Linked DNA regions of Callithrix jacchus. The protein of the gene in region 7 purifies or fractionates together with the protein of the main gene of each other region. This does not show direct contact. Links are inferred from orthologs where the notes say so. Each region holds a gene or a part of one and is shown on either strand. Other genes may lie near its edges.

What was found.
Region 1: the proteins of SMARCA5 (region 7) and BPTF purify together in Homo sapiens (affinity purification with mass spectrometry; 4 studies listed by BioGRID and IntAct, with this or other methods). This does not show direct contact. The link is inferred for Callithrix jacchus from reciprocal best matches to the Homo sapiens genes SMARCA5 and BPTF.
Region 2: the proteins of SMARCA5 (region 7) and CECR2 purify together in Homo sapiens (affinity purification with mass spectrometry; 3 studies listed by BioGRID and IntAct, with this or other methods). This does not show direct contact. The link is inferred for Callithrix jacchus from reciprocal best matches to the Homo sapiens genes SMARCA5 and CECR2.
Region 3: the proteins of SMARCA5 (region 7) and BAZ1B purify together in Homo sapiens (affinity purification with western blotting; 11 studies listed by BioGRID and IntAct, with this or other methods). This does not show direct contact. The link is inferred for Callithrix jacchus from reciprocal best matches to the Homo sapiens genes SMARCA5 and BAZ1B.
Region 4: the proteins of SMARCA5 (region 7) and BAZ2A purify together in Homo sapiens (affinity purification with western blotting; 3 studies listed by BioGRID and IntAct, with this or other methods). This does not show direct contact. The link is inferred for Callithrix jacchus from reciprocal best matches to the Homo sapiens genes SMARCA5 and BAZ2A.
Region 5: the proteins of SMARCA5 (region 7) and MYO1C purify together in Homo sapiens (affinity purification with western blotting; 3 studies listed by BioGRID, with this or other methods). This does not show direct contact. The link is inferred for Callithrix jacchus from reciprocal best matches to the Homo sapiens genes SMARCA5 and MYO1C.
Region 6: the proteins of SMARCA5 (region 7) and BAZ1A purify together in Homo sapiens (affinity purification with western blotting; 8 studies listed by BioGRID and IntAct, with this or other methods). This does not show direct contact. The link is inferred for Callithrix jacchus from reciprocal best matches to the Homo sapiens genes SMARCA5 and BAZ1A.

Annotation. Positions count from the first base shown.
Region 1 is NC_133506.1:90,441,133-90,445,703, forward strand, and holds the start of BPTF (nucleosome-remodeling factor subunit BPTF), read right to left. Parts: upstream 2,944-4,571; 5' UTR 2,720-2,943; coding exon 2,095-2,719; intron 1-2,094. UniProt on the Homo sapiens protein: Regulatory subunit of the ATP-dependent NURF-1 and NURF-5 ISWI chromatin remodeling complexes, which form ordered nucleosome arrays on chromatin and facilitate access to DNA during DNA-templated processes such as DNA replication, transcription, and repair.
Region 2 is NC_133502.1:212,660,988-212,665,016, reverse strand, and holds part of CECR2 (chromatin remodeling regulator CECR2), read right to left. Parts: intron 3,264-4,029; coding exon 1,841-3,263; intron 1-1,840. UniProt on the Homo sapiens protein: Regulatory subunit of the ATP-dependent CERF-1 and CERF-5 ISWI chromatin remodeling complexes, which form ordered nucleosome arrays on chromatin and facilitate access to DNA during DNA-templated processes such as DNA replication, transcription, and repair.
Region 3 is NC_133503.1:10,220,669-10,224,697, reverse strand, and holds part of BAZ1B (tyrosine-protein kinase BAZ1B), read right to left. Parts: intron 2,779-4,029; coding exon 2,640-2,778; intron 1,947-2,639; coding exon 1,813-1,946; intron 1-1,812. UniProt on the Homo sapiens protein: Atypical tyrosine-protein kinase that plays a central role in chromatin remodeling and acts as a transcription regulator. Involved in DNA damage response by phosphorylating 'Tyr-142' of histone H2AX (H2AXY142ph).
Region 4 is NC_133510.1:63,014,198-63,018,687, reverse strand, and holds the start of BAZ2A (bromodomain adjacent to zinc finger domain protein 2A), read right to left. Parts: upstream 3,017-4,490; 5' UTR 2,844-3,016; coding exon 2,802-2,843; intron 2,779-2,801; exon of another isoform or gene 2,757-2,778; coding exon of another isoform or gene 2,715-2,756; intron 2,336-2,714; exon of another isoform or gene 2,287-2,335; coding exon 2,175-2,286; intron 1,036-2,174; exon of another isoform or gene 939-1,035; intron 1-938. Other genes in the region: ATP5F1B (ATP synthase F(1) complex subunit beta, mitochondrial), read right to left, coding at 4,235-4,335. UniProt on the Homo sapiens protein: Regulatory subunit of the ATP-dependent NoRC-1 and NoRC-5 ISWI chromatin remodeling complexes, which form ordered nucleosome arrays on chromatin and facilitate access to DNA during DNA-templated processes such as DNA replication, transcription, and repair.
Region 5 is NC_133506.1:66,759,067-66,763,095, reverse strand, and holds part of MYO1C (unconventional myosin-Ic), read right to left. Parts: intron 4,027-4,029; coding exon 3,980-4,026; intron 3,871-3,979; coding exon 3,790-3,870; intron 1,156-3,789; coding exon 1,050-1,155; intron 935-1,049; coding exon 817-934; intron 1-816.
Region 6 is NC_133509.1:69,378,575-69,383,144, forward strand, and holds the start of BAZ1A (bromodomain adjacent to zinc finger domain protein 1A), read right to left. Parts: upstream 3,259-4,570; 5' UTR 3,198-3,258; intron 1-3,197. UniProt on the Homo sapiens protein: Regulatory subunit of the ATP-dependent ACF-1 and ACF-5 ISWI chromatin remodeling complexes, which form ordered nucleosome arrays on chromatin and slide edge- and center-positioned histone octamers away from their original location on the DNA template to facilitate access to DNA during DNA-templated processes such as DNA replication, transcription, and repair.
Region 7 is NC_133504.1:53,197,231-53,201,259, forward strand, and holds part of SMARCA5 (SWI/SNF-related matrix-associated actin-dependent regulator of chromatin subfamily A member 5), read right to left. Parts: intron 2,969-4,029; coding exon 2,820-2,968; intron 2,642-2,819; coding exon 2,522-2,641; intron 1,761-2,521; coding exon 1,650-1,760; intron 1,345-1,649; coding exon 1,231-1,344; intron 845-1,230; coding exon 722-844; intron 1-721. UniProt on the Homo sapiens protein: ATPase that possesses intrinsic ATP-dependent nucleosome-remodeling activity.

The DNA.
Region 1 (4,571 bases), on a different chromosome or scaffold from region 7:
TATATATTATTTGCTAGGCCTTCAAATAGGTCTTAAAGTTAGCTGAACTGCCCTGCCAAAATGTCTCAGCTCTGTTTAATCAGAAACACTTCCTCCAGGGGTGTATGCAATTCAGTCTCCATGTTTCAATTATCGGTTCTGTGTATAATGAAGACCAACAAGTGATTTCTCAAGGTAAAAATTATTACCATAAAAGGTGTACTAGGCCAGGCACGGTGGTTCACACCTGTAATCCTAGCACTTTGGGAGGCCAAGGTGGGCAGATCACGAGGTCAGGAGTTTGACATCAGGCTGGCCAACACGGTGAAACCCCATCTCTACTAAAAATACAAAAATTAGCCAGGCATGCTGGCAGGTACCCGTAATCCCGGCTGCTCAAGAGGCTGACAGGAGAATCGCTTGAGCCCAGGAGGTGGAGGTTGCAGGGAGCCATGATCGTGCCATTGCACTCCAGCCTGGGCGACAGAGCAAGACTCCGTCTCAAAAACAAAAAGATGAGCTAAAATTAAGTTGGCAAGAATTTACCTGTAGTCCTTTCTACATCTAAGACATAAATACCTGACACTTGATTCATTCCCTTCATTCTCCACATAGTCCCCCCCAACCCTCACAAGCCAGGCAACCATTCTGACCATCAGGCAAAATAAATTACCTTTTTTCACTTTGTTAGGACAACTCATGTGGGTTTACATTTGGCTTAATATAATACTACTCTACTTCTCCAATAAGTAAGCATTTATAAAAAACAGAAACTTCTCAATTTAACCACTTCTACTATCCGAGTCTCTCTGAGAAAGACATGACACACCTTAATTCAAGGAAAAAAGGTCCTTTTTCCTCACAAATATTTCCTCATAAACTTTATTTTTCAAATGCTTTTAAAACCAGATTCTAATTTAATTAATCTAGATTTGCAAAATTATAAAGGAAAAGTCTTGCCAGTTGTTGCTTTGGTTATGTTAATTTCACAATTTAGTAAATTTCAACTACCTATTTAATACAAAGCAGTCTTTTGGAAGAGGGTGAGGGGTTTTTAACAAAATGCATCTCAGCACCAGCCTGGAGAAACTTTTTGTGAGAAAACAGAAGAGGGGTTACCATGGAGAAATTCATTACGGATTTCTGTGAGGGCTTTTTCCTCAGAAATAGAGTGAAAAGAAAAAGTCGTCGTGTAATAAATCTGATACTGATGCTACATGACTTAGAAAAAAGTTCATCTTCGGCAATTATGTCTAGAGGATCAACTACACATCTTGTGCAACAGGTGACACGAAACTGCATTTCCCAAGCCAGGCAAAGCGATCAAATGAGTTAAGACAAGCGTTCCTGCGGTTTTGTACTTTTATTTTTGACTTAACCAAAACAATTTTGAATCGGATGAATTACCAAATTTGGTTGGGTCTTGTTTGGCTTTCTATTTTGCTTTTTCATCAGCCATTTACCAGCAACTGTTGCATGAGCCCATTGGCACTCGAAGAATAAAAACAAACACGCAGGACCAGATAAAGTTCCCCTACTAACCCAAATGATCCATTTCCTTAACACAATTTTAAAACCACAGCTAGGGGTGTGAAAACAGGCATGTTTTTGTGTGTGTTTGTGTGCCACAATCTGCCCAAATCCTTAATTCCCTTTTAAGTAACAGATATATAATAAAAATCTGAAAGAAACCATATTAGAAATGCAAAGAGGTTTGCAAAACAAGAGGCTTCTTTCATTCCAGAAAACCACACCAAAACAAGGGAAGAAAAATGAATGCAATGGATACGTGTCTGCCAAAGTTTCAATCCTGCCCGGTGGAGACATCGCACTGGCACAAATTTTGAAGAGGAAAAAGAGGGGGTTGGGGGGAGAGAGAGCAAGCGAGTGTGGCCTGCAAACTGCAACAATGCAATCTCCATTTTGAACAATGCGCCTCTTTCCTCTTGTAAATCTAGTTTTTTGCCACTTGATGTGCCGTCGCATTTCCCCTCTGTTTGGGGGGAAGGCGGGGTTGGGGGGAGATCGGAGCAGGATGCACAGCACACGAGTGAGGAAGGGGGGAGGGCAGAGGAGGTGGGGAAGGAGTCTGCAGCAACTGGGCTGGGTGGGTACCTGGAGTGCTGCTGTAGGTACTATGGCTCCTGAAGCTGCTTTCCGTGCAGTAACTGGCGTCGTCGTCGTCGTCTTCCATCTCCTCCGGATAATCGGAGTCATCGTCGTCCTCCTCCATCTCATCCTCCTCGTCGTCCTCAGAATCTTGGGTCTCCTCGGCGTCGCCGTCCTCCTCCTCCTCCTCCTCCTCCTCGGAGACCATGTCCTCCTCTTCCTCCTCCTCCTCGCTCTCGTGGTCATCGTACACCACTTTGTTGACGGCCCTCCGGGCCGCGGTGGTCCGGGCCAGGTGGCCGCCGCCGCCCCCGCCCCCCGTCCTGCCTCCCCCGCCTCCTCGCCCCCCCCGGCCCGGGGCGCTGGTGCTGGGGGGGGCCGGCGGCGGCTGCGGCTTCCTCCGGCTACTGCTGCCCCCCCTGGGCGAGCTCAGCCGCGTCTTGGGCGCCACCTCAGCCTGGGCGGCGGCCCACCTGCCCCGACTACTGCCGCGGTGCCGCGAGCGGAGCCCCCCGATGGGTCCGGACGTGGGCGGCGGCGGCGGCGGCGGCGGCGGCGGCGGGGCCGGGGCGCAGCGCTCCGCAGCGGGAGCCGCGGGCTGCTTGGGCGGCCTGCCCCGCCGGCCCCTCATGTCGGAGCCGAGGCGGGGGGGAGAAGGGAAAGCGGAGGGGGAGGGGCGGGCGCAGGGGGGGCGGTGGGGAGCGCCGGGGCCGGGTGGGGAAGCCCGCGGGGCCGGGCGGGAGGGGCCCAGCCGGCGGAAGCGGGTGGAGGGAGAAGGCTCAATCCGAATTGCTGGGGCCCCACTCCGGATCGCCTTCAGCCGCCATCTTGTTTCTTCCCTCTCGCTCGGTGACTGGGGGAACCGACAGCGGCCGCAGGCCCGGAGCGCGGTCACGTGAGCTGCGCCGCCGACGAGCCTGGACGGAGCGAGGCGGCGCAGCGGCCGCTAGGGGGAGCGCGGGAGCGCCGAGTCGGGGGCGGGGAGCACGGGGCTTCTGGGTTCGGCGCAGCTAGGCGCAGCTGGACTTCGGGCGCGGGTGGCGCGGCAGAGACGGGTGCGCAGCTCGCGAAATGCCCCTGTGTCAAAGGCCTTCGGAGACCATAGTCTCCGCGGACCCCTGGCTGGAGGCCAAAGCCTGCCGGACCTCCTCCCCGCGTCTCCCCTTCCGCGGCTCGGAGAGAAAGGCAGGAGAGCCCCCAAATATCATTCCCCTCCCGGCCCCCTAGGGAAACTGATGCTGAAAGAGCCAGAGAAAAAGAAAAAAAGGTATAGGAGCGGGGCGGCCGAACGACCGAGGACACTGGGCAGCGCCACCGACGAAGGGAAATTCCTAGAATTTAGGAAACTCCTTACCTGGGAGCTGGAGTCCTGAAATTGACTCGAATGACAACTGCTCCACGCTGTGCCAGGAGCCACGCCCGGAGGGAGGGGCACTTTAAGGCCTATTCCGTGGAACCCCCACTCGGAAAGCCTCAGGAAACTCCAGAACGCAACTACTGCACGTTCCAGTCTCCCGCCACCCTCCCAGTGCCCCAGCTAGGACCGCTACCACCTCAGCAGGAACTTCCCTCTCCTCTGCAGTGTAAAACGAAATCCTGCCTAAAAACCTACTTCACGGTGTTATGTTTGTATTATCGGGAAATAACCTTGATTTATTTATCTGACAAGTCACTAAGTTTCAGCTTAGCCCAGGGGACGAATCATGATGACATTTCAGGCACCCTCAAACCTTATCACAGGGACTCAACCGTGAGTGGTTGAGGGCAGCTCTTCAGATAAGAGGTTTTATAAACTTATATGAATATTTGAGATAAGTGACAACCAAAAAGTAATTTAAAGAAAAATAGTTGGCCTGGCTCGGAAACTCATACCTGCAATCCCAGCCCTTTGAGAGACGGAGGCCGGAGGATAGCTTGCGGTCAGCAGTTCGAGACAACCCTGGGCAACATATCAGGACCTCGTCTCTAGAAAAAAATTGAAAAATTAGCCGGGCATGGTGGTGTGCACCTGTGGTCCCAGCTACATGAGAGGCTGAGATGGGGGGGATCGCTGGAGCCTGGGAGACAGATGTTGCAGTGAGTGGTGATTGCACCACTGCACTCCAGCCTGCGTGAAAGAGCAAGACCCTGTCTCAAAATTGAAAAAAAAGAAACAAAAATACCTAACAGGATTTCTGTCCACCAAATGGCTATTTCAATCTCGGCCTCGCCGTCCTCCTCCTCGGAGACCATGTCCACCTCTTCCTCCTCCTCCTCGTTCTCGTGGTCATCATACACCAAATATGAACACATTTATGTTCACAATTGTGTTCACATTTGTGAAATTTTTCACATGTGAAAGTTGTGTTCATATATGTGAAATGAAAATTAAAATACAAGCACTGATTGCCAAATATATGCATTCAGTACAATTTGATTGAGCTTCAAAAGTGACAAATGTGTATGTATCTCCAGAGACCAGGCGAGTTACGTAAGTCAATAAA
Region 2 (4,029 bases), on a different chromosome or scaffold from region 7:
TAATTAATAACTCCATCTAACCACCTGTGGTATACATAGATTTGAAAACTTCCAAGAAATAGGGGAGGGACAGCGGGGGTGGGGAGTTGGGGAGGGACAGCATGGAGTGAAAAGCCAGATATAGGTGAAGGGGAGGGAGGCAGCAAATCACACTGCCACATGTGTACCTATGCAACTATCTTGCATGTTCTTCACATGTACCCCAAAACCTAAAATGCAATTAAAAAAAAAGAAAACTTCCTAAATGGCAGATCACCTAACTGGATCTCGAAAACATCACTGCACAATCACGTGTGAAAGAAGTCTCATGGGGACTTATTTGCATTCTGGATAAAACTGGTTTTCTTACTCAATGATATAGTAAGAAATGAGAGTTATGTAGTAAACCTTTTTTCTTCTTTTGAGACAGAGTCTCGCTCTTGTTGCCCAGGCTGGAGTGCAATGGCGCGATCTTGGCTCTCAAGTGATTCTCCTGCCTCAGCCTCCCAAGTAGCTGGGACTACAGGCGCGCACCACCACACCCAGCTAATTTTTGTATTTTTAGTACAGATGGTGCTTCACCATGTTGCCCAGGATGGTCCTGATCTCTTGATCTTCTGTTCCTCCCGCCTTGGCCTCCCAAAGTGCTGGGATTACAGGTGTGCGCCACTGCGCCTGGCCATAAAACTTCAATGACATGTGATCTCTTCTACTCCTGGATAGACGTTTTCTTTATTTTTTTACCTTCGTCAGAGCGTCCGCACACGGCAGCAGTGTTGACACAGATTTGCTTACAGCTCTCAAACTGTGGTTACTAAGTTTCCAGTATCATGTAAAGATTAGCTGGGCATGGCAGCAGGCACCTGTAATCCCAACTACTTGGGAGGATGAGGCAGGAGAGTCGCTTGATCCTGGGAGGCGGAGACTGCAGTGAGCAGAGATCACACCACTGCATTCCAGCCTGGGCCAAAGAGCGGAGATTTAATCTCAATAAAATAAAATAAAATAAAAAAGCTGGCTGGGCGTGGTGGCTCACACCCGTAATCCCAGCATTTTGGGAGGCTGAGGGGGGTGGATCACCTGAGGTCAGGAGTTTGAGGCCAGCCTGGCCAATATGGTGAAAACCCGTCTCTACTAAAAAATACAAGAATTAGCTGGGAGCGGTGGTGGGCACCTGTAATCCCAACCACTTGGGAGGCTGAGGGAGGACAATAGTCTGAACCTAGGAGGCAGAGGTTGCAGTGAGCCGAGATCGCACCATTGCACTCCAGGGAGACGCATCTCAAAAAGTTTACAGTATCAAAATCTAACTCAGTCATGTAAATGCCAATTCATTTTCATGAGGGGGAAAACGTTCAAGGATAACGCTGGGCTCTACATCTAGTGTCTTTCTAGCGAGCATGCAACACCAGTAATTCACATACGCTTCTCATTCCCAGATCATCAACTACTGTCTTCATCTCTAAGGCCATTTTTCTGTTTAAACATCCAGGCTGGCTGTGGTGACTCACGCCTGTCATCTCAGCACTTTGGGAGGCTGAGGCAGGAGGATGAATTGTACTCAGGAGATCGAGACCAGCCTGGGTAACATGGTGAAACCCTACCTCTACCAAAAAAAAAAAAAAAAAAAAAAAAAAAAAAAAAAAAAGAGCCGGGCATGGTGGCATGTGCCTGTAGTCCCAGTAATTTAAAAGACTGATGCAGGAGGCTCCCCGAGCCCGGGAGGTCGATGCTGCAGTGACCCACGATGGCACCACTGCCCTCCAGCCTGGGTGACACAGCGAGACTCTCTCTCAAAAATAAAGAACCACCACCACCATCTGTTCTTTCTTCGCAGGGAAAAGCCCGAACGCAATCTTACCCTGACGGTCTGTACGTTTCCTGGAAAGGTCCCCTTATTCCACTTCTAGTGCCAATTTGTTCCATCATCACAGCTTGAAAGTGACCCAGGCCCTCTTCCTGGCAGCGATAGATGGGGCCCTCCTGAGAGAGCCCGTTGGGCTGGGGGGCCCCTGGGTGGTGAGGTGGGTGAGCAGCCATGGGGGAAGAGTAAGCGCTGGGCTGAAAGTGACTGGCCGGCCGCTGAGGCGTGTAGGGAGGCCCCGTCTGCAGCATCACGCCGTGGCTGGGAAATGCAGATGAAGCAAAGCCCATTCCCGCACTCAGAGACGGAGGAGGAGGTCCGTAGAGATACTCGCCGGCTGGTAGCGAGCTCTGCCGCTTGGTGGCTGCGTTGTGGTTGTCCAAGTCTAAAAATTCTTTGGGACTCTCTGGCCTCTCCATAGATTCATCCAGCTTCTCTTCCTCTGGACCAGGATTCTGCCCGTCATTCGGGACTTCAGCAGCCACAGGATCCATATGGGCTGGAGCAGTTAAGGCAGCATTCAGTGTCTCACAGCCTTGCAGACTGGCCATGGCATTCTTGTCGGAGAAGAGGGACCTCGGTGGGGGAGGCTGACTGGCGGGGGGTCCGCTCGGGCTTCCCTGGGGATGGAGAGGTCTCTGCCAGTCAGAAAAGCCCTGTGGACACGGATAGTAAGGAGTTCGCTGATAGTGGTGGTAGGAAGGCTGTGGTGGTGGGTGGTAGGAATACCTCATTCCTTGTGGGGGGCGATACCGGGGAAAGCCTCCAGTATGTGGGTGGCTGGACTGAAAGCCCCTTGGGGGGAAATGTTGGGGATGGGATGCTGAGGACTTCCCTCCCATCACGGGGCCCACACCCTGCAGGCCTGGACTGATGTGGTAATGAGCAGCTGAATTCGGGTACTCCAGCCCAGGCATGTACAGCGGGGAGAACTGGCTCACAGTGCCTCCCATCAAGCTGGGATCTGTGCTGGGCGGTGTCGCTGTGTTCTGTCTTGGGCACGGCACGGTTTCCTGCAACGTTCTGCCTCTGGGGCACAGCGGCTTTTCGGAACCACTGTTACCAAGGCCCTTCCCCTCTGATCCACAGGGCGATGCTTCCCCAGTGACTCCGTTTTCAGGTAGAGTGCCCCTGTCTGCCACCGCGGAGAGGTCTCCCATGCACCCTTGGGTGACTGGGCTGGGGTAGCTGCTATCCGAGGGCCAGGGATTCTTGCCCTTGGTTGCTTGACAGCTGTCTGCAGATTCGGAGGAGTTGGCTTTGAGCTCTGGGCCTGACGTTTCCCCCCTCTCTTGGGGTGAGCTCTGCCTGGTGCGGTCAGTCTGCAGGGGAGGCCTGGGGTGAGGTAGTTGTTTGAGGTATACCCCCTCGGAAGTACCAACACTTGCTGGTTTCTCTTCCAGGCCAGGCAATGGCTCTGCTGGAAAAAAAAAAAAAAAAGAAAAGAAAAAATAATTCAGTAGCTGAAATGGCAAGTAAATGTAAAGAACATGACAGACTCAGATGGAGGTGGATGTGAGGTGATTCAAGTGTCAGCAGGAAGGTGCTGGAGTCCTTGAAAGGACTCAAGATCCTCGTCCTTTCACCCCTTCCACGGACACAAAAGTAAAACCTAGCGCCTCTCCAGCCACTCTTAGAGTGTGCCGGAGAATGGAAATGTCCCTGCCGCCCTAACCTTGGACTGCCTAGTTAGTAAGAAGCTGAGAGAGGGCTTGTGGCTCATGGTGCACGTGAGGCACACCGGGGGGATGGCTGTCATCAGAATCGCTGGGCATGCTGGGAAGCTTTAAAATTCCACGCAGCGAGAAAGACCAGCTCCACAGGAGGAGGGACTTCTCCCTCTCACTGTCCTCTCTGACTCCAGACGCACAGACTCAATCACTGGTGAATCAGTACATTCATTCTGTCTGCATGTCTTCAAGATGCCTACTAAACAAAACTCAAAAGGCATCTTTAACATACTATGGATAAGCCCAATCGAATGAGTTTATCGGACTCCTATGCCCGGTCACAACGTCGGAATTCTTTACATTACTGTTCAACCCACAAACATGATCTTAACTAAGACCATGTACAATAGTGTGTAAGTATGTGTATATATCTGTATCAAATAGGCCATTTTTTTTTTGAGGCAGGATCTCGCTCTGATGCCCAGGCTGGGGTGCAGTGGCACGATCTCAGCTCAC
Region 3 (4,029 bases), on a different chromosome or scaffold from region 7:
CCCAGCTAATTTTTGTATTTTTTTGTAGAGATGGGGTTTCGCCATGTTGACCAGGCTGGTCTTCTCAACTCCTGAACTCAAGTGATCCACCTGTCTCAGCCTCTCAAAGTGCTGGGATTACAAGACATGAGCCATCACACCCAGCCTCAGTTGGGTTATTTTAAAAAGAAACTGCTATTCTGGAACTGGAAAACACAAAACAACACCTACCAGGACGCTCTAGAAGTAAAGGGTCTGGGTTCTCAATCTTCTCTCAGGGCGCTTTAACTGTGTAGACGTTACTTTCAAGAACTGCCACCAGGCTTTTGGAACACATTATAAAGTAAAATTCCTTCATCCTGCTGGAATGCCTTCCAAATCTAAACATCCAGAATCCACAGATACTGCTCTCCATGTAACTGCCCTCACCTGAGTATTTATAACGTCTGCCAAAACTAGATTCTTCTACTAAGTGACATAATCTATGCTCAATACAACATGAAAACACCTTAAATTTGAAGGAATGTTTATTTTTGTAAATCAGTAGTATTCTTCTTTAACAATTTTGTGAGTTTCAAGTTTGAGTTAGAAATTTCTCTAAAATGAAAAATTACTTTTAAAAAAAGATTTATCAAAGAAGCACAATAATTTAGTCTTCAGGAACCAATTTTCTTTTTTATCTTTATCTCCCACATGACACCAACACATAAGCCATTTTCATTAGGTTACAGACAGCAGAACTGGAAGGAAGCTTATGGATCATTGAACCTAGTGGTTCTCAATGGGGAGGGAGCACTACTGCCTGCCCGGGGAAATCTGGCAGGATCTCGAGACATACTTTGTTCTCACTACTACCACCTACTGGCTATGTAGAGGGAAGCTCCTAAATAAACCACAAGGCGAAAGTCAGCTCCCAGGACAAAAAACTATCTTCCTCATCAGTATCATGGTGGAAGAAAATAAAAAAGATTCATCTGGCCCAAAACGTCAGTAACACTGAGGTTGAGAAAACCCAACCTAACCTAAGCATCTTATTTTTTTAATTAAAATTTGTTTCTTTCTTGAAATATACCCAACATACATACTTTAAGAAAGAATATGAATATATATTCAGAAAATTATTCAGTATAGGTTTCGGCTTCATAAACACTGAATAAATTAACTTTAAAAGTAGAAGAAGATGGTCAGGCATGGTGGTTCACGCCTGTAATCCCAGCACTCTGGAGGGCCAAGGCAGGTGGATCACCTGATGTCAGGAATTCGAGATGAGCTTGGCCAACATGGCAAAACTACTACTAAAAATACAAAAATTAGCAAGGTGTAGTGGCACACAACTGTAGTCCCAGCTATGTGGGAGGCTTAGGCAAAGAATCACTTGAACCCAAGAGGCAGAAGTTGCAGTGAGCCAAGACTGCACCATTGCACTCTAGCCTGGGTGACAAGAGTGATATTCCATCCCAAAAAAAAAAAAGGTAGAAGAAGAGAAAATGTAACACTGCCTTCTTAGCCCCTATACCTCAATTTTAGCAATTCAGGCACCTATGATGGCTTCTAAGGGACAGTTTTGAAAACTTCTATAAAATCTAATACCCAAATACCCTACTATTCAAGCTCTTTATCTTCTCACACTACGCTTAGAACAAAAGTAGTAATCAAATCTGGGTTTCTTTCCTTCTCTCTACACATTTCACATCTACCCACTTAACTCAAACATACCTAAGATCAAAATACAGAAATTTTGCAAATGGAAAAGGGGACAGAGGAAGGGCAGTCCTTAATGCTGAGCCCACTTGAGCAGGGTGAAATAACTCACAGATAGACAGAGATACTCACTGCGGGGACAGTAATCCTCATCAGCAGAGTCTGTGTGCTCTTTACAGTGATAGTTGAATCGGTAGTCAATGCTGTCATGTACCCAACCTTTTTCAATGAATAATCCTGGAACTTCATCAGAGAAGAGCCAGTATCTACAAACCACAACCAGTATTAATAAGAATCAACAGATCAGGATTGCAGGAGAATTTTACTCCTGGAGATTAGAGTATCACTGAGCATTCAAAACCACGTTTACAGAATTCTTCCTCTTCAGAACTCTAGACAGATAAAAACTGTAAGGTAAATCAAAGCATATAAGAAATGTTAAAACTGGAGACTAGTTTAATGTCTGTAATTTTTATAACTGCTCTCTTTTTTTAATGGAAATGGGTGGCTATGTTGGCCAGGCTGGTCTTAAACTCCTAGCCTCAAGCAATCCTCCCACCTCAGCCTCCCAAAGTATTAGGATTACAGGTGTGCACCACCACAACCAGCTGTAATTTGTGTAACTACTAATATTTCTCTTCTTTAGGTTTCACAAAATGTACGCGTTTAAAACCTACTGCCATTTTTAAAGACTTGTATTTGGATCACACTTCAACTGTCACCATCATATAAGCTTCCTACTTGTGGTATCTTCAAGGGCAGGAACATTCTCACTTAACTTTGCAACTCTAGCATTTGGCACAGTTAATATTCAACAATCATCAACAATTCTGTTTCCAAACACAATCGGAAAACTCAAGAGAGAAGCTTGTCTATTCTTGTACTTTAGGTAATTTTCGTTAACTAACAGCATTAAAAATAGTCCTGGAAGAAAACAAAAATTAGGTTTAGGAACTGACCTATTATGGTTCCGATCTGTACCGATAGGAGTCCTGCGCATGACCAGTTTGGCCTTGGCAATCCCTTCCTGGAAAGCTTTCTCAGCAGCTGCTTTGTGCCTCCGTATTCGTTCTTCTTCAGCTTGGCGCTCCAGTTTCACTGTTAAAGGTAAAAAGACTCAGTAAGATATTTTCCTAGTAATTCCCACTTTCAGATTAAATATGGAGTAAAAAGTGCCTCATGTATAGTAGTTATCCAATCCTCTCCCTAACTCTAATCTGTTATAAGAAATGATATGTGGCCAGGCATGGTGGCTCACTCTTGTAACCCCAGCACTTTGGGAGGCCAATGGGGGCAGATCACGAGGTCAGGAGATGAAGACCATCCTGGCCAATATAGTGAAACCCTGTCTCTACTAAAATACAAAAATTAGCTGGACATACTGGCACATGCCTGCAACCCCAGCTACTCAGGAGGCTAACGCAGGAGAATCGTTTGAACCTCGGAGGCGGAGGATGAAGTGAGCCAAAGTTGCGCCACTGCACTCCAGCCCGGTGACAGAGGGACACTCTGTCTCACAAAAAGAAATGATATGTAAGGCAGCAACTTCTACATAGTCCTCCTGCATTCCTTGAATTTTGGTGACATCTCATCCCTCAACTCAATGCAAAATCTTTTAGCTCCAAAATATCGCTTTTTGTTTTTTGAAACACTCTTGCTGGCTGGAGTGTAGTGGGGCGATCTCGGCTCACTGCAACCTCTGCCTCCCAGGTTCAAGCGATTCTCCTGCCTCAGCCTCCTGAATAGCTGGATTACAGGCAAACGCCACCACGTCCAGCTAATTTTTGCATTTTTAGTAGAGACGGCGTTTCCCCATGTTATCCAGGCTCGTCTCAAACTGACCTCAACTAATCCACCCATCTCAGCCTCCCAAAGTGCTGGGATTACAGATGTGAGCCACCACACCTAGCCAAAATATCACTTAATGTATTTTAAACAACCCTGAAGAAACAGTTAACAGCTCAGAAACAGGACTAACTGAAACATCTTCTAGTTGTTTTGAGGACCTACAGGATCCTCAAAACGATCACAATAAATACAACTAGTAAAGTAACTATTTCAAAATAAAATATACTTCAGTCCTGAGGAATCTGACAGGAATTTGGCTTAACAGCCCTGATGACAAGAAAAAAATTCAAAAACAATGGCAGGGGAGTACTTGGGGATAATAATTATTTTACATTGAACACCTATTTTTCTAATTGTTCAGCAAGTTACTGTTAATGATAAAAATGTTAATTTATTTCTGATCATTCATTAATTAGGTTTATTCTATTCAGCAAAAATTTCCCTCAACAACAAAAGAAGCCCACTAATTTTGTCTTGTTTTTCCATAATCGTCACAAACCC
Region 4 (4,490 bases), on a different chromosome or scaffold from region 7:
CTTGGCCTCCCAAAGTACTGGCATTACAGGCGTGAAATACTCCACCGGTCCCCCTTCTCCCCTTTAAGTCGACAGGTGGCCCTTCAAATTCACTCAGTCTTGTCTCCAAACTTCTTAGTGGAATTCTCTATAGTGCTACTGGAAGTTAGAGAAAGCCCTTAATTCCTAGGGGGTGGAAGGGCTTCCTTTGGATCTAAACAGAGAAAACTGGACTTCTCTTGCCTTCCCCACCGCCCCAGTTCCCCACCCACTCTCTCCCAACTGCTCCAGTAGCACAAGATTCCGGCAGCGCCCCGGCCCCCAGCTCCCAGATACTGGGGGAGGGGTGCTCCTAGGCTGGACCGACCAACCCTAGGCCCAAGAGGAGAGCCCTTCCCACCTGGGCTCAGTAGGCGGTGCTGAGGTTGGACCCCGAGCTCCTGGAGCTGTAGGGTAGGGTAAGGACTACAGAAAAGCTTTAGATGGGACTTAGCTGAACTTAAAAGGGCTGAGCGGGGCAAGGCCAGATAGTAAGTGTAGTTGCTGTTATTCCCCCGCCCCCCTTACTACAGGGAAGGAGAGGAGTTGGGGTGGGTATCCCCCCTCCCATTGGGGTTAGGAAGGCGTGGGAAAGCGCTAGTTCCAGAGGGGAGGAGGCGAAACCCAGACCGCGGGAGATTTTTCTGGCTAGGAAGACGCGGGGGAGGGGGAGATCCTGGGCCCAGAATAGGAAGGGTACTTGGGAGAGGATGGCGGAGAGGCGTGAGAAGCCTCCGGATTCCGGTTGCAGAGGACAGAGGGAAAAATGGGAGAGTAGATAGTGAAGGGAAGAGAGGAAGGCCAGCTCCCGCAGAGGGAGTCAGATTCTGAATCCTGAGGCAGCAGGGATCCCGGGGCAGGATACCGCAGAAACGGGCCGCCCGGGGACTCCGGGGCTGGAGGTGGGTGCCGGACCTCACCTAGCGCAGGGCCGGGCTGCGGGCGGCGGCGGCGGCGGCGGCAGCGGCGCAGGTGGCCGAGCCGGGCGGCGGCGGCGGCGCCTCCTCCCCCAGCCCTGGGCCGGCGGCGGCGGCGGAGGGGAGGAGATGGCGCTTAAAGGGGCAGGAGCTACCGGGGTGAGGACAACTGCTCGGGAGAGCAGACGCGAAGGATTCTCTGGGGAAGAGGGAAGCGGGTGGCGTCTCCTAGGGGCCAGAACCAGGAAGGATTCCAGATGGGAGGCTGAGAACAGATCCCAGAAAGAGACAGAAACTTCTGCGGTAAAGTGGGGGATGGTGGTAGGTCCGAACGGAAGGACTCGGGAGAGCTCTGCCCGCGCTCCCAGGGCACCAGCAAAGACCGCTTCACAAAGGAGGCCGGGGAAGGCTGAGAGAGCTACATGGGCTCCTAGGAGGCCTAGGGGTGAAGGAGAGGAACTCAAGGCTGAGCCTGCTGGGGGTCATGCGCAGGGACCTACTAGGTGAACAGGTTCCCGGTGTTTCAGCTCCTCAGGGCTCCATCCCTACAGCTGTGGGGTCTTTGGAATCAGGAAGCCACGAGGGCAAAAAGCTATCCTCTCAACCTCAATCTTGCCTCCCACTCAGTGCCTTCAGTGACTGTAATGTGGTGGCCATCAATAGCAGCCCTAGTGAGGCTCAAGTGGGACCATGAGAATCGACTTTGGTTCAGTTTTCCCCCAACCACCAACCACCCTTGCTTCAGTCTCTGGGGCAACAGGAAGCAGCTGCTCAGTGCAGCCCCCACCTGAAGGTGGGTCAGGGTGGGGGAGGAGAGGAGACAGAGACTTAAAAGGCCTTAGAGAAATTAAGAAGGGGACGCACTTTAAACACCTTCTAGCACGGCCAAAAGCGGGCTTTACTTTTGTGGGGGCTAGCAGTGAGTACTGTCAAAATTTCCTTGAATTTCAACAGCTTAAATGGGGAGGAGAAGGGACAGTCCTCCACGGGGCGACGGGGAGGGGGTTGGGAAAGCCCTGGCCTAAGGTGCGTCTCAGGCTCTTCCTTAGAGCTGGGGCTTGCCCATACTCGGGATCCCGTGATCGGCGGCTGAGCCCTGAGCCCCCCTCCCGTCCCCGGGTCCTGTTTCCTCCCCTTCACCCCCAAAACGAGCAAAGGTTAGGCCCCACCCCTGCTGAGTCAGCCAGGGAGGGAGTAGGCATCCCTCAGGCCTTCCCCGGGGTTGGTCCCCATACTCACCCATGTCAGGCTGGCAGGACTCCAGGCTGGGATCACCCAGCTCCTCACTGTCCTTGTGCCCCCGCTTCACGTAAAGGCTGGTGTTGGATCCTCCCAAACTGTGAGCTGGGAACTAGCAAGAATCAAAAGCCAGTGTATGCTTCCTGCGAACCACACAGTCTGAACTGCTGTAGGGTGATGTCCCTGTGTGACAGACTGGGTGGGGAGGGAGGAGGGAAGGGCGGGGCTTTCTCTGGGTGGAGAGAGGGAGGAGGCGAGGACAGGGCAGACCAGGAGAAATATGGAGGAAGGTTAGAGCTGTGTTGACACTCCAGTGGCTTGGTAGAAGAGGGCGGCAAAGGGAGAAGGAAATAAATAGTTGCAGCTAGTGAGAGGGAGAAGGTTCTCGATAAACGCTGAAGGACGTGAACGTGTTGGGGGAAGGGGTGGAGGGATGCAAAAGACCTTTAAGATTTCAGTTCCCAGGTCTGTATTGGGTGACGTGAGAAAACAAAGAAAGGGCTGACCTGGGGCCTAGGGCATTTTGTACCAGCTTCTTACCCACTCCAAGTCAGGACCTAGAGGAAGTGTCCCCACCCCCATAACTCAGCATTTCCCCAAATCCAGGCTTTCCTGGGAGCAAACTACCAGCACAAGCAGCTCAGGGGCTCCACCTTCTGTCCAGATCATGACACAGGAGAGACTGCGGGAGAGGCTGCTGCCAAGGACGTCACAGGCAGATGGAAGAAAGCTTGGAGGCCCCTACTCCACCCCTGGCGCCGCGCCAAATGGCCCTCCCCAACCTTCAGCCCCCAGGGGCCTCTGAATTGGGAGCTCGGTTTATCTCCGCCCAGCTTCTACCTAACTTGATGGCCTCAGGGGGTGGAGCTTATCGATGCAGGCTCCTCCCCAGGACAAATTGCCCAGCTGGTTTGTAAACAGTCTTTCACTGAGAACCACATCCCAGCCTTCGTGGATTTGAAAATGGGATCAGTGTTCTTCCAGTCTCCAGTGCTACCGCGAGAGGGCAGTAGGATAGGTCTGGTCTCAGGAAAGAACACATGAGGAACCCAATCTGACCTTGTCTGCTTCTTTTAAATTGAAATGGTGAAATCTACCTATCCTTGCACCTCTCAAGGTGGGCTAAAATGAAGAGAAAATTACCTAATTCCATTAGTTTGGAACCCCTGACAACACTGAATATTGTTATTCCCTTGTAAGATCTTTTCTGGACTTTCATAAGGGATCTTCACAGAGGGCAGACTAGGCCTCATGGTATTATAAGCCTTTGCATAGCCTCAAGAAATCACAAGCAACTTTTTTTCTAGGCTTGCCCAAAACGTCAGGAAGTAGTTAAGTACACTTTCTGAAGACAGGAATTCCTAACCAAGATGTAGAGGACCCTTTTTGATTCAATTTTAACAAAGATAGTATTCTTTGTCACTCTTTCTTGAAAATTTAATTCATTAAACTCAGATTAACCCCTGGAAAAAGTTATTTCTAGAACAAATTTTTCCCAATATGCCCTTCAAAAAAGGCCTATTTTTAACCAAGCAGTAATGTGCTACATGGTATGGGGGGGGAAATCAATTTGCATTGAATAAAAGGCCCAAAACTGAGGCCCTAAGATCACACTATCCACAAGAAACTCCTCACAAGAGGTATGGTTGTCTATCAGCAAGAGAATGACTATTTTTGAGGACTGATTTCAAACATACATGGCCAACTTCACACTGAAACTGCTTTTTATGGCCACTCTATAAAAATCTGTTGAAAACAGTGCTGGTGATGTGAGACTCCATACACCTGTAGCCCCAGCTGCTCAGAAGACAGGTGGGAGATCTCTTGAGCCCTAGAGTTGGAGACATGTCTCTAAAACTAAAAATATATAACCCTTCACTGTTGATGATGTTGTCAGAACCAAGAGAAACAGACAAATTCTGGGGGGGTGTACATTTTATTGGAAACTTTAAATACTGTTCAGACAGAATGTATCTTCAATCAAGGCTCTTGTGTAGCCTACACAGAAAAATGAAGCTTTCTGGATTAGGGGCAAGGAGAGGGACAGACACAAGAACCCCTCATGATGAATGCTCTTCAGCCAGCTTATCAGCTTTTGCCACAGCTTCTTCAATGGGTCCCACCATATAGAAGGCCTGTTCTGGGAGATGGTCATATTCACCTGTATGAAGGAAAAAAAAAAGTGGGGGGGAGTGGATATCAACTTTCTGCAGTGTGTAATATTCCTCAGCACTTGAGGGCATCAGTTGGAATGTGATGAATTCGTGTTGTCTTAGAAAGCTTGAATTTCTGTTGCAAATTTACAAGACATGATAC
Region 5 (4,029 bases), on a different chromosome or scaffold from region 7:
ACAGCCCCACCCCAGGCAGCACCCTGCTCTGGGGACCTGCTGGGTGCTCCCAAGGACTCGTTCACAGCTCACAGGGGGCTCATGGGTCACTGCCCCCATTTTTTTTCTTTTTTGAGATGGAGCCGCACTCTGTTGCCCAGGCTGGAGTGCAGTGGCGAGATCTCAGCTCACTGCAACCTCTGCCTCCCGAGTTTGAGCGATTCTCCTGCCTCATCCTCCTGAGTAGCTAGGACTACAGGCATGTGCCACCAGGCCTGGCTGTTTTTTTTTTTTTGCTTTGTTCCCTGTGAATAATTTTGTGTTTTGAGTAAAGACGGGGTTTCTCCATGCCGTTCAAGCTGGTCCCCAACTCTCGACCTCAGGTGATCCGCCTGCCTTGGCCTCCTAAAGTGCTGGGATGACAGGTGTGAGCCGCCTCGCCTGGCCATCCCGTTTTAAAGATGAGGAAACCATTATCTACCTAAGGCCAGGAAACTAAAAGTGAGAGATGGAATTCACACCGATTGAAGCCTGGGCCCCAGCTCAGAACCACAAAGTTGCTCCACCCTTTTTGAGCTCCTTGGAAGCCGCCCACAAGGTTTGCTACTGTCTGCCTCCGGTGCCCGGCGTGTGGGTCAAGCCTCAGGTACTCCGAACAGGTGCTCCTGCAGGGCACGGCCTAGGGGACTGGCCAGGTGTTCTTTCCACCAAAGGCTCCTGGCGCGAGTCCCACAGCGGCCCAGGGCCCCTCGTCCACATTCTAAAATGGGGCCCAGGGGCTCCTCCCCTCCTGCCCCCTCAACCCCGTCCCTGGTGCCCAGCAGGACCGGTCCCGACCTTTGCAGGAAAGCTTCGTATTTGCGGCGATAGGCGAAGCCGGCTCTTCGCACACGGAGGTTCTCCATCAGCCCCAGGTACTTCACCTGGTGCCGGATCAGCACCTCGTCAAAGCGGCCTGGGGAGGTGGAGGTGCAGTCAGCCGGCTGGGGAGGGGGTGGTCAATGGCCAGTGCTGACTGCCTGTTGCCTGCAGGGGACGCTGGGCCGAAGTACCCGGCAGGAGAGGCCTACCGGGCTGCTTTGCGTCGTTGGGCTTGATGCAGCGGATGTAGGCCGGCTCCTTAGACTGCAGGATCTCCACCAGCTGCAGGAGGCTCATCTTGAACTGGGTGGCGACCTGGGAGGCCAGGAGGCAAGGAAGCTTGACCGGAGCTTGGCTAAAGCTCATGACCCCAGCAGCGTGTATCCCACTCCCCTGGCTGGGGACCCGAGCGGCAGCCTGGCCTTATTCCTCCCACCATACCGTCCCCGAAGAAAAGGAAGGGGCCAGACTCCACCCCAGACCACTCTGGCTGGGCGAGGGATCTCTGCTTACAGCCGCGCTCCAGCCTCACACTCCTGTTCAGGTCTCCCAGCAACCCCAGTGCGACACCTCCCTTTAGCCGCCCTTCTTTTTCTTTCTAGAACTCCAGGGCTGCATTCCCAAACAGCATGTCCCATGCTACGCATTCGGCTATGATCAGGGTAAACTGCTCTGTCGGACGGGGAAGATCTCAGGCCAGGCGGAGAAACACTTAGCAAAGACCAACAACTCTGGGTGGCTAGGGAATAACAGGTGCATCCCTGGGGGTCCTGAGAGCGCCAGAAAGGGACAACGCATCCAGTCCGAGGGGCAGGGAGCATCAGGAGAGTCTTCAGGACGTTACAGGATGAGAAGGGCCGGCACAGTGGCTCAGGCCTGTAATCCCACCGGGAAGGAGCCGGAGCTGAGGGAAGTTGCTGAGAAGGACTCAAGCCAGATCCAGCAGCTGGATGAGGGAGGCAGGAGAGTAGAGAACCAGGGAGCTAGTCGCAATAGCTCACGCCTGTCATCCCAGCACTGTAGGAGGCCAAGGTGGGCAGATCACCTGAGGTCAGGAGTTTGAGACCAGCCTGGCCAACATGGCAAAAATCTATCTCTACAAAAATACAAAAATTAGCTGGGCATGATGGCAGATGCCTATAATCCCAGCTACTTGGGAGGCTGAGGTAGGAGAATCACTTGAACCCGGGAGGTGGAGGTTGCAGTGAGCCGAGATCGCACCACTGCACTCCAGCCTGGGCAACAGAGCAAGACTCTGTCTTAAAAAACAAAAAGGAACAGGAGGACATTCAGGTTTCTTGCCTGGGGGACTGGGTGGAGAGTAATCCCTATCCTGAGTTAGGGACAGAGGAGGAAGCCTGAAGAAGAGACCAAGGGCCTGTCTGTTATAGACCAGTGGAGTCCAGGGTGCCTGGGGCCATGTGGGGAGAGAAGAGATACAACATCTGTGGCTTGCTGGAGAGGCCTGGGCCGGAGGGGTATGCAGGCATCCTCAGCAGGGAGATACGAGCGCAAGGAGGATGTGGGCACTTCGGGAGATGGTGGGGTGGACAGCAGCAGTGGGCAGGGCCCACAGAGCCAGACCGCTGGCGGCATGGTGCCTGCATGCCCTCCCTGGTGAGCAGTCTCGCCTCTACCTCCCTGCTGACCGACCGACCCCGCTCTTCCTGGGGCTGCCCTGATCCTCTCCTTGCCAAACCCAACGACTGCCCCTCGCCCCCAGCTCGCTGGAGCTCTGCCTCTGGCACCTCGCCTATGCCTGCCTTTCCCGGTCCCTCTCCTTGACGCCATCGCTTTCCGGCTCCACTCCTGGCCTTTTCGAACTCTCTGAGTGTCTGAGTTGGGCCCTCACTATAGGTTCATCTGACATTCTCAAGTGATATCCAATGCTCCCTCCTCCAGGGAGCCTCCCAGCCCTCACCCCTTCCACCCCTGAGGCCATCTGCTGTTTCTCTTCCAAGTTCGCAGTGCACCCTGTGCATGTGGCTGCAGGTGCACCCCCCTGGTGCCTGGGCAGCATCTGCTATAAATGTCGGCTGAGTGGGTGGACATGAGAGTGCCCACATAGAGGCAGGTGTCAACATACTGACACCCACAACGGAGACAGGAGCACACACACATTCCCCTACAGCACAGCCCCCCACTTAGGAGACACGGCCCCACTACAGACACAGCACATGCAGAAGCAGGCAGACAGGGCTGGGAGCCGAGGCTCACGCCTGTAATCCTAGCACTTTGGGAGGCCGAGGTGGGTGGATTGCCTGAGGTCGGGAGATCAAGACCAGCCTGGCCAACATGGCAAAACCATGTCTCTACTAAAAATACAAAAAATTAGCCATGCATGGTGGTGCGAGGCTGTAATCTCAGCTACTTGGGAGGCTGAGGCAGGAGAATTGCTTGAATCCGGGAGTTGAATCTCAGTTGCAGTGAACCAAGATTGGGCCATAGCACTCCAGCCTGGGCAACAGAGCGAGATCAGCCTAAAAAAAAAAAAAAAAAAAAAAAAAAGGGGGGGGGGCGGGCGCGGTGGCTCACGCCTATAATCCCAGCACTTTGGGAGGCCGAGACGGGTGGATCTCATTAGGTCAAGATATCGAAACCATCCTGGTCAACATGGTAAAACCCGGTCTCTACTAAAAATACAAACATTAGCTGGGCATGGTGATGCATGCCTGTAGTCCCAGCTACTCGGGAGGCTGAGGCAGGAGAATTGCTTGAACCCAGGAGGCAGAGGTTGCGGTAAGCCGAGATCATGCCATTGCACTCCAGCCTGGGTAACAACAGCGAAACTCCGTCTGAAAAAAAAAAAAAGCAGCAGCCAAAGAGGCACCTAGAAGCAGCCCCCTAGACACCCACAGATGTGCACACGGGCACCAACACGGGCTCACACGCATGCTGCCAGCTCCCAGGCTGGCTCAGCCCTCACCCACGCCTGGCCCCACCCCTCACCGTCTCCGGCCGTTTCTTGTCACTGAGCTCACTCCGGTTGAAGCACTGGCTCATAATGGGATTCTTCGAGCTGCACATGGTCTGTGTGGCAGAGCCGGGGTCAGGCTGGAGCACAGGGACAGGCCCCTGGACACAGGTGCAGAGTTGTGGGTGACCCCTTCCCCCTCGGCCCCCACTTCAGGTCCCTCACCTCCTTCAGGTTCCGGAAGAGAAGGTCATTGTTTTTGTCCAGAAACCCTG
Region 6 (4,570 bases), on a different chromosome or scaffold from region 7:
ATCACAAGGTCAGGAGTTTCAGACCAGCCTGGCAAACAGGTGAAACCCTCTCTCTACTAAAAATACAAAAAATTAGCTGGGCGTGGTGGCGGGTGCCTGTAATCCCAGCTACTCAGGAGGCTTAGGCAGGAGAATCACTTGAACCTGGGAGGCAGAAGTTGCAGTGAGCCGAGACTTCACCACTGCATTCCAACCTGGGCAACAGTGAGAGACTCCATCTCAAAAAATAAATAAAATAAAATAAAATACAAAATAAAAACACAAATTAGCTGGGTGTAGTGGTGCATGCCTGTAATCCCAGCTACGTGGGAGACTGAGGCAGGAGAATCACCTGAACCCAGGAGGCAGAGGTTGCAGTGAGCCCAGATCGTGCCACTGCACTCCAGCTTGCCCGAGAGAGTGAGACCCTGTCTGAAAAACAAAAACAAACAAAAAACAACAATAGAAAAACTCTTTAGCACAGCCTTCAAAACCTTAGCCATTCTGTCTGTCATCTACTCATTAGCTTCCTGTTATAATACATTCTTTTGGCTTCCTTCTCTAGCCACGCTCTCCACTTCTCCCCCTTCTCCCTGGCTTTTTTTTTTTTCCTTTTTTTTTTTTTTGAGACAGGTTCTTACTCTGTTGCCCAAGCTGAAGTGCAGTGGTGAGATCCTGGCTCACTGTAACCTCTGCCTCCCAGGCTCAAGTAATTCTCCAGCCTCAGCCTCCCAAGTAGCTGGGACTACAGGCATGTGCCACCACATCTGGCTAGGTTTTGTTGTTGTTGTTGTTCTGTTTTGGTAGAGATGGGGAATCTCACTATGTTGGCTGGGGTGGTCTTGAATTCCTGGCCTGAAGCGATCCTTCAGCCTCGGTCCACCTAAACTCTGGGATTTCAGGAATGAGCCATCAAGCTCGGCCAATGATAACATTTTTACTAGAATACATCAATGCCACTTTGAACTGCTACTATAAAATCACAATGGAAATAGCAGATAGCAATTATTGAATGCTTACTATGTGCTAGGCACTGTGTCAAGAGCAATACATACAATACCTCTTTTAATCTTCTGAGTAAGTATTGCTAAGCCCATTTTACTAAGAAGAAAATGAAGGCTCAGAGAAGATGTCATGCTCAAAGTCATACAACTATTTTTTTTTTTTTCGAGACAGAGTTTCGCTCTTGTTACCCAGGCTGGAGTGCAATGGCGCGATCTGGGCTCACCACAACCTCCACCTCCTGGGTTCAGGCAATTCTGCTGCCTCAGCCTCCCGAGTAGCTGGGATTACAGGCACATGCCACCATGCCCAGCTAATTTTTTGTATTTTTAGTAGAGACGGGGTTTCATCATGTTGACCAGGATGGTCTCGATCTCTTGACCTCGTGATCCACCAGCCTTGGCCTCCCAAAGTGCTGGGATTATAGGCTTGAGCCACCGTGCCCGGCCGTCATACAACTATTAAGTGATAGAGACAGTATAGCCAATATTCAACCCAGGTCTATCTGACTCACTTCTGATTTCTCTCTCTGTCCTTTCTTAACCACAAGTATCTGTACGCTAGGACTCACTAGGACATCATAAGTTATTTGAGCTAATGCACCGTTAGAGAAGGAACATGGGCTTTGGTGTTAGACCAGCTTTGAATTTGAGACCCAGCTCTGGCACAGACCAGCCATTTGATCTTAGACAAGTTACATCACCCTCTCTCTCCACTCCCACCCTAAATCTTAGGTTCTATATCTATAAATTGGAAATAATATCAGCCATCTTACAAGGTTGCCATAAAAATTAGGTATAATGTATATAAAGTGCTTGGCACATCAATGGTATTCAATAAATCACTTTTTTTTTTTTGAGACGGAGTTTAGCTCTTGTTACCCAGGTTGGAGTGCAATGGTGTGATCTCGGCTCACCACAACCTCCGCCTCCTGGGTTCAAGCAATTCTCCTGCCTCAGCCTCCCAAGTAGCCGGGATTACAGGCACGCGCCACCATGCCCAGCTAATTTTTTGTATTTTGAGTAGAGACGGGGTTTCACCATGTTGACCAGGATGGTCTCGATCTCTTAACCTCATGATCCACCCGCCTCCCAAAGTGCTGGGATTACAGGCTTGAGCCACCACGCCCGGCCCTAATAAATCACTTTTTATCATTGAATTATACAATGACTTTATTTGTTCAGTAATTGATATATTTGGCAACATTATGTTTTAGATTTTGAAGGATAGTCTATTCTGTGATTCAGAAACATTGTCACCAGAGATATATTTGTCAGAGTATGTGTCCTTTTTTTTGTTTAGAGAAAAAGTATTTATTTCTCTTAAAGTGGTAAGTCTATAAAACATGCCTAATAAACCCATGATTAGTAACTGAATAATTATACAGCATAAACAAATGCATGAAGAATCCACAAGTAATCAGAAAAATATACTTTATATGAATCAGAAAGAATAAGTAGAGTTCATCAAATTACTTGAGTTTTATCTCTGATTCATTAAGTTCTGAAACATAGGTACAATTTAATGTTTACAATTTAACCAAATAATGAAAATGGAACATCCGTTGTCTGCACCCTTAAATGTAAAGTTACTGATCAAAAAGTTTTGGTCACCATTTATATAAGCAAAATAAATGAGCAAATATGTTTACTAAATGATGCACAATATATGTTCATATTCATGTGGAATTTTTTTTTAAATGTATTTAATTGAAAAGAGTAGGCCAGGTGCAGTGGCTCACGGCTGTAATCTTAGCACTCTGGGATGCCATCATGGGTGGATCACTTGAGGCCAGGAGTTTGAGACCAGCCTGGCCAACATGGTTAAACCCTGTCTCTACTAAAAATACAAAATTAATAATTCCAGCTACTTGGGAGGCTGAGGCAGGATAATCGCTTGAACCCTGAAGGGAGAGGTTGCGGTGAGCTGAGATCACACCATTGTACTCCAACCTGGGCAACAAAAGTGAAATTCCAACTCAAAAAAAAGAAGAAGGGAGAAGGAGAACAAGGAGAAGAAGAAGGAGAAGAAGGAGAAGAAGAATGGAGGATTAATGGGAAAAACAACTTCATCTGTTTCACAATTTTTCTAAAGAAATCTGGAGTAATTTATACACAGTTGATTCCAAACAGTATTCAAATAAGATAGTCAGGTCCTAAATGCCAAATACAGTTAAAGACAACAAAAGCTGTAAATAGCTAAAAAATACAAATTACCTTTTTTGGGGGGCTGTTGGAAAGTTATAGGCTGAATTTCATATTGCTGTGACTATGTTCTATTTACTGGCTTTTTCCTTTCAGCAGTTAAAAACCAGTAACCTACAGGAAAACAGTAGTATAATCTCAACATTCTATTAAACTTGGTCACGGCCAGGCTTACGCCTATAATCCTATCACTTTGGGAGGCTGAGGCAGGCAGATCACCTGAGTTCAGGGGTTCGAGACCAGCCTGGCTAACATGGCAAAACCCTGTCTCTACTAAAAATACAAAAATCAGTTGGGTGTGGTGATACATGCGTGTAATCCCAGCTACTCGGGAGGCTGAGGCAGGAGAATGGCTTGAACCCAGGTGCAAGAGGTTGCAGTGAGCGGAGATTGCACCATTGCACTAGTGGCTGAGCCACAAGTGGTAAGGTCAGTTATTGTAATTCATAGTGAAGTAAAGGTGTATGTGTGTTTTGTAAATTTTTCTTCTTTTGCATACAGACTGGGGGGTGGGGGGGTCTCACTGTGTTGCCCAAGCTGATCCCAAACTCTTGGGCTCAAGCAATCCTCATGCCTTGGTCTCCCAAAGCGCTGGGATTAGAGGCATGAGTCACCATGCCTGGCCAGGTATGGCATGCTTTTAATCCCTTTTGTTAGAGAAGATGAAATTACTGAACAATTAAATAAATTATTAGAGAAAAACATATTCTTTTTTTATTCATTATATGAATTCTAATAAATGGGCTACAATCGGGTATTGAGTTCAAAATCTGAAAATGTAAGATAGAGTACCTGGGGGAGGGTACATGTCCATAATTTCTGTCTGTTTCAGATATATGCAGGGATGCCAGGGACAGGGAAAAAAAAAGCATATATTCAAATAGGTCCTGGGGGGACAAATGAGTACATAAACCTCTCCTCAAAGAACAGAAGCCCCCTTCCTTTTTTTTTTTTTGGTTTTTATTTTTATATGTCTATGTCTTTCTAAAGCCCCATTTTCTAAAGCATGGGGCTTTAGAAAAACCACCACCACAGACACACAATAGGGATGACATTGCTTAGGGGCTTCTAAGCATCATTTCAAGTCTGAATCTGGAATATCCTCTTGGCAATTTGAAGAAAGGTAGAAAGGTGAGCTTTACCTAATAGTGTAGCAAAGAACTACAACAGATAAAAAGAGCAGTTTTTATGGTGGTCACTCATTTATTACCTGAAGTTAGGTAGGCTTGGATTTAAATCCTATCTCTGGCACTTAATGGCTACAACTAAACAGTGTGTGTATATCAGTTAATATCTCTGCCTATTTCCTGATCTGTAAATGGAGTTAATAATAGTGCCTACCTCGGAGGATTGTTCTGAGGATCAAATAAGATAGGTGCCTGGCA
Region 7 (4,029 bases):
GGTGGATCACGAGGTCAAGAGATCAAGACCCTCCTGGTCAACATGGTGAAACTCCATCTCTACTAAAAATACAAAAAATTAGCTGGGCACGGTGGCGTGCACCTGTAATCCCAGCTACTCAGGAGGCTGAGGAAGGAGAATTGCCTGAACCCAGGAGGCGGAGGTTGTGGTGAGCCGAGTTTGCACCATTGCACTCCAGCCTGGGTAACAAGAGCGAAACTCTGCCCCCCACCCAAAAAAAAGAAACACTGTATGAAAACGTGACAGTTTTGCTGGCCACAAAGAGTGAATAACCTAAAGGGCAAAAATATGAACAAGTAGAAAAACGGAAGGAAAATAAAGCTTTAAAGGTAGGTTAAAGGCCAGATTCTAAAAGACCTTGATGAACACCAAAGGATGTTAAGAACATACCAAGCCAAGATTTATAATTGAAAATGGTGACTAGGTAGCAATGTGGAAAATCATAGGAAAGACAAGAACATTCAAAGTAAGGTGATAAAAAGGATACCCACCCTACCAAGGCAAGACTAGTCTTCTCAACTACGTCAACAATTAGTGACAATCAAATGGAGCATTTATGCACATGCCCATGCTTTGTTGTCTCCAATTATTCCATCTTTAAAAGCAGAAACCTGTACTTATTTGTATGCCCCAACATCACCCAACACAGTACTTTACAATAAACTGTTATTAAAGTTTGTACTGAATAAAGGCTATATACCTGTGTTAGAAGCTTCTCTTTTTCCTCTAACTCTTCATCATTAAGGGGTTCAGCTTCATCAATTTTAAGCTGTTCTTCTTTTTGTGCCTGTGCTGCATTAGGCAGCTCAGGATTTCGAGGTACCTAAGAGATATTTTTCTATGCCATCAGTAAGTAAGTTTTAAAGAGCAAGTGATGAACTAAATTCTTAACCAATTAACTTCAGGTGGCGGGAATAAGTGTAACCAATTAACTGACATTTCACAAGTTTCTGTTCAACCAGGAAAGAAAATATACTGATATCTTGCATTTACTACATTAAAAACAACCTAGATTCGTCATGAAATCTTATTTTTCTTTTTTAAAGAGTAACAGACACACAGCTTATGTATTTGACATATACAACTAGAATAGGCTAAAGCAATATTCTTTCCCACTAGGTCCAAATTAGATAAATATTAATAACTAATGTTTATACCTTCCATAAATTCTGGATAGCAATGGACAGAAAAGTGGACAATTTCAATTACCTTGTACCCAATAGTTTTTCTGTAAAACAGAATTTCTTTTTCCAGTAATTCAAATAAACGTGGAGGGAAGAACTGGAAATCCTGAACATTGGGTTGTTTTGGAGGTCGAGGAGCCTAAAGAAAAAAAAAACAGTGTTATCTATAAAAAAGAAATTTTGTTTTAAATGTATCCTTAGTTCTTACTTCATAAACCATGACAGCCAATTTTCCAAGCAAATGAATGCATCTTTTAATAAAACTGAATTGTTACCTTAATTTTAAATGCAGATTCAAAACTGATTTTTTTAAAATGTTAACTAAAAACAGAATACAGTCTAAAGAAATACAAAATATAATTATCAATGTTTTTGCAAGAATATAAGAAAATAATTACATTTTAAAAATTTTTAGATCTTTTTATGCTGTGTCAGTTAACTCACCTTCGGTGCTTTAGGTTCACTAACACGAAGAGCTTCCCTAAAATATGCATCAACGGCATAATTGGCTTTTCTTTCTCGTTTAGGTGGCTCAATCCACTCTGTGAATGCAATCTAGCACATGGGAAACAACTCAAATCACCAACTTCTATTACACACAGTAACAAATTATCATCAAGAAGGATGTTTTTGTAAATGGAAAGACATTCAATCCTGGGTATAAGCTCTATGAGGCTGGGGACTACAATACTTTGCTCAATATCATGTATATAATTAACACATGAGACAGTGCCTAATAAGCAACAATGTAAGCATTCAGTATTTCTTGCTTAAAGGAACAACTGTTAAATGAGAGGGAGAAACACTATAGAATGTTTGCTATAAATCTAAACTAGGAGAATACTGTAGACATGTGTTTAGCCTAGAACAAATTCTGAAGATATAGACCTAAATGTTAACGAGAAAAACACTGGGTAGAATTATTTTTTTCTTCTACTCTATGGGTATTTTCCAATTTCCCTCTATATTACCAAGTATTACTTATGAAATTAAGAAATGTTTCCCTTTATTACCATCACTTTGGCTGTTTAAAATTAAATGAATCAGATTAACATCCTAAATTACTATATTCATCCCATACAAGAATATATTTCACTGTCAATATATACTACAAACTTCATCACAGAAACTGTAAAAATATTTCAGAATTTCCCAACTCAAAAAGCAGCCTTAAGTTTTATATAATAAAGATTCAGATGTGAATAAGCAAAAAATACTGTTTTAAGCAAAATTACAAGACATTATAATACCACTTAAAATTCCAAGTTTCTAGTAAAATAAAGCTTTCATGCATCCCAAACCTATTTCTAAATTACCTTTTGTTTTTCTCTATAGTCTTCTCCTTCAAAGTTATAAACACTGGACTCTGTATCCATCGTAAAGTTTCTAAGTGAGCTTTCACCCATCTTGGAGAGCTTTTCATTCATCTCTGCAGTCTAGAGAACAAAACAAAAAGCAAGCATGAACCTGTAGTCAAAATAAATTAACTTCATGTACACAAAAGCCTCTTTTTAGGGAAATAAAATTATTTATAAGCAATGTAACAAATATTTCCTCAGTTTCTGGTTTGAAACATTTTATATTAAAAGCATTATCATTTAATCTACATCTCACCTTCTTTGCACCTCTTTCCAAAATACCATCGATATCTTCATCAGTGATCTCACTTTCCTTTGAAGCAAACACATGTGTTGCCCCATGTCTAATCATTTGAAGCATTTCATCTTTCCCAATTTTGTTCAGATTCTGGTCCACAAGCCTCCCTGAAAAAATATTGTGTTGTATAATGTTAACTGAACAGACTTTATTTTTCTGGTAACTTGAATTTTTAAATGTAAGGTTTAATGCCTTATAATTTTGTCTCAAATGTCAATCATTTCTGTTAACTATTTATTCACATCTGATAATTTTCATTTTTACACTAAATTTAATATCAAATTTTCAGCTGGTAAGCTACAAAAAATTTATAAAGCTTATATATCATATAATGAACCCTACTGTATACTGTGTCAGTGAAATATAATCTTTTGTGAAAGCTGCATATAACAAAATTAATTTTCAAAAATCCACAAGTTTCAACAGATAGAAACATTACATATACACAAGTTTCTGATGAGCAGAAAGGTGTTATTACTAATACTCCCCAAATCAGCTTTTTCTCCTTTAAAAAGTAAAAAAATCCTTCACATAGGCCAAACTTTACACTAGAACTGAAATATCTAACATCAGATTCTTTTTAAAGAAAACTTCCAGAAGAGCTGAAACCCCTAAAAACTTATTATTTCTTTTGCAGTCTTACTCTGTTGCTTAGGCTGGAGTGCAACGACAGGACCATAGCTCCCTGCAGCCCTCAACTCCCTGCTCAAGCCATCCTCCTATCTCAACTTCCCAAGTAGCTAGGACTAAAGGCATGCACCGCCACACCTGAGGAGAAAATGTATCTGGATCATTAAAGAAACTCAACATTAATAAATTAACAAAGATCTTCAGTTGGCAGGAATTTGGACAACCTTGTAATCTGTGTTTTCAAAAATACAAGTATATATTTAAAAATAAAAAAAACAGAAAACACTTTGTTTCACCCTCCTCAATGGTCACTCACATACACCTAAACAAAGCTTTGATTTTTATATGCCAACCAACTTGTAGTAAGTGGATAAAGATACAAGTTTCCAATAACTTCTTTTAAAATTTTTATCATGTTTTGGAACCCATAACAGAATGCACAATCAAATATCCGCGACTCTGAAGGTGAGGACATATCCACTAAGTATGTTTCTTTGAACTGAAAGCTATCTCATTGCTACCAAAATTTTCTTAGGCT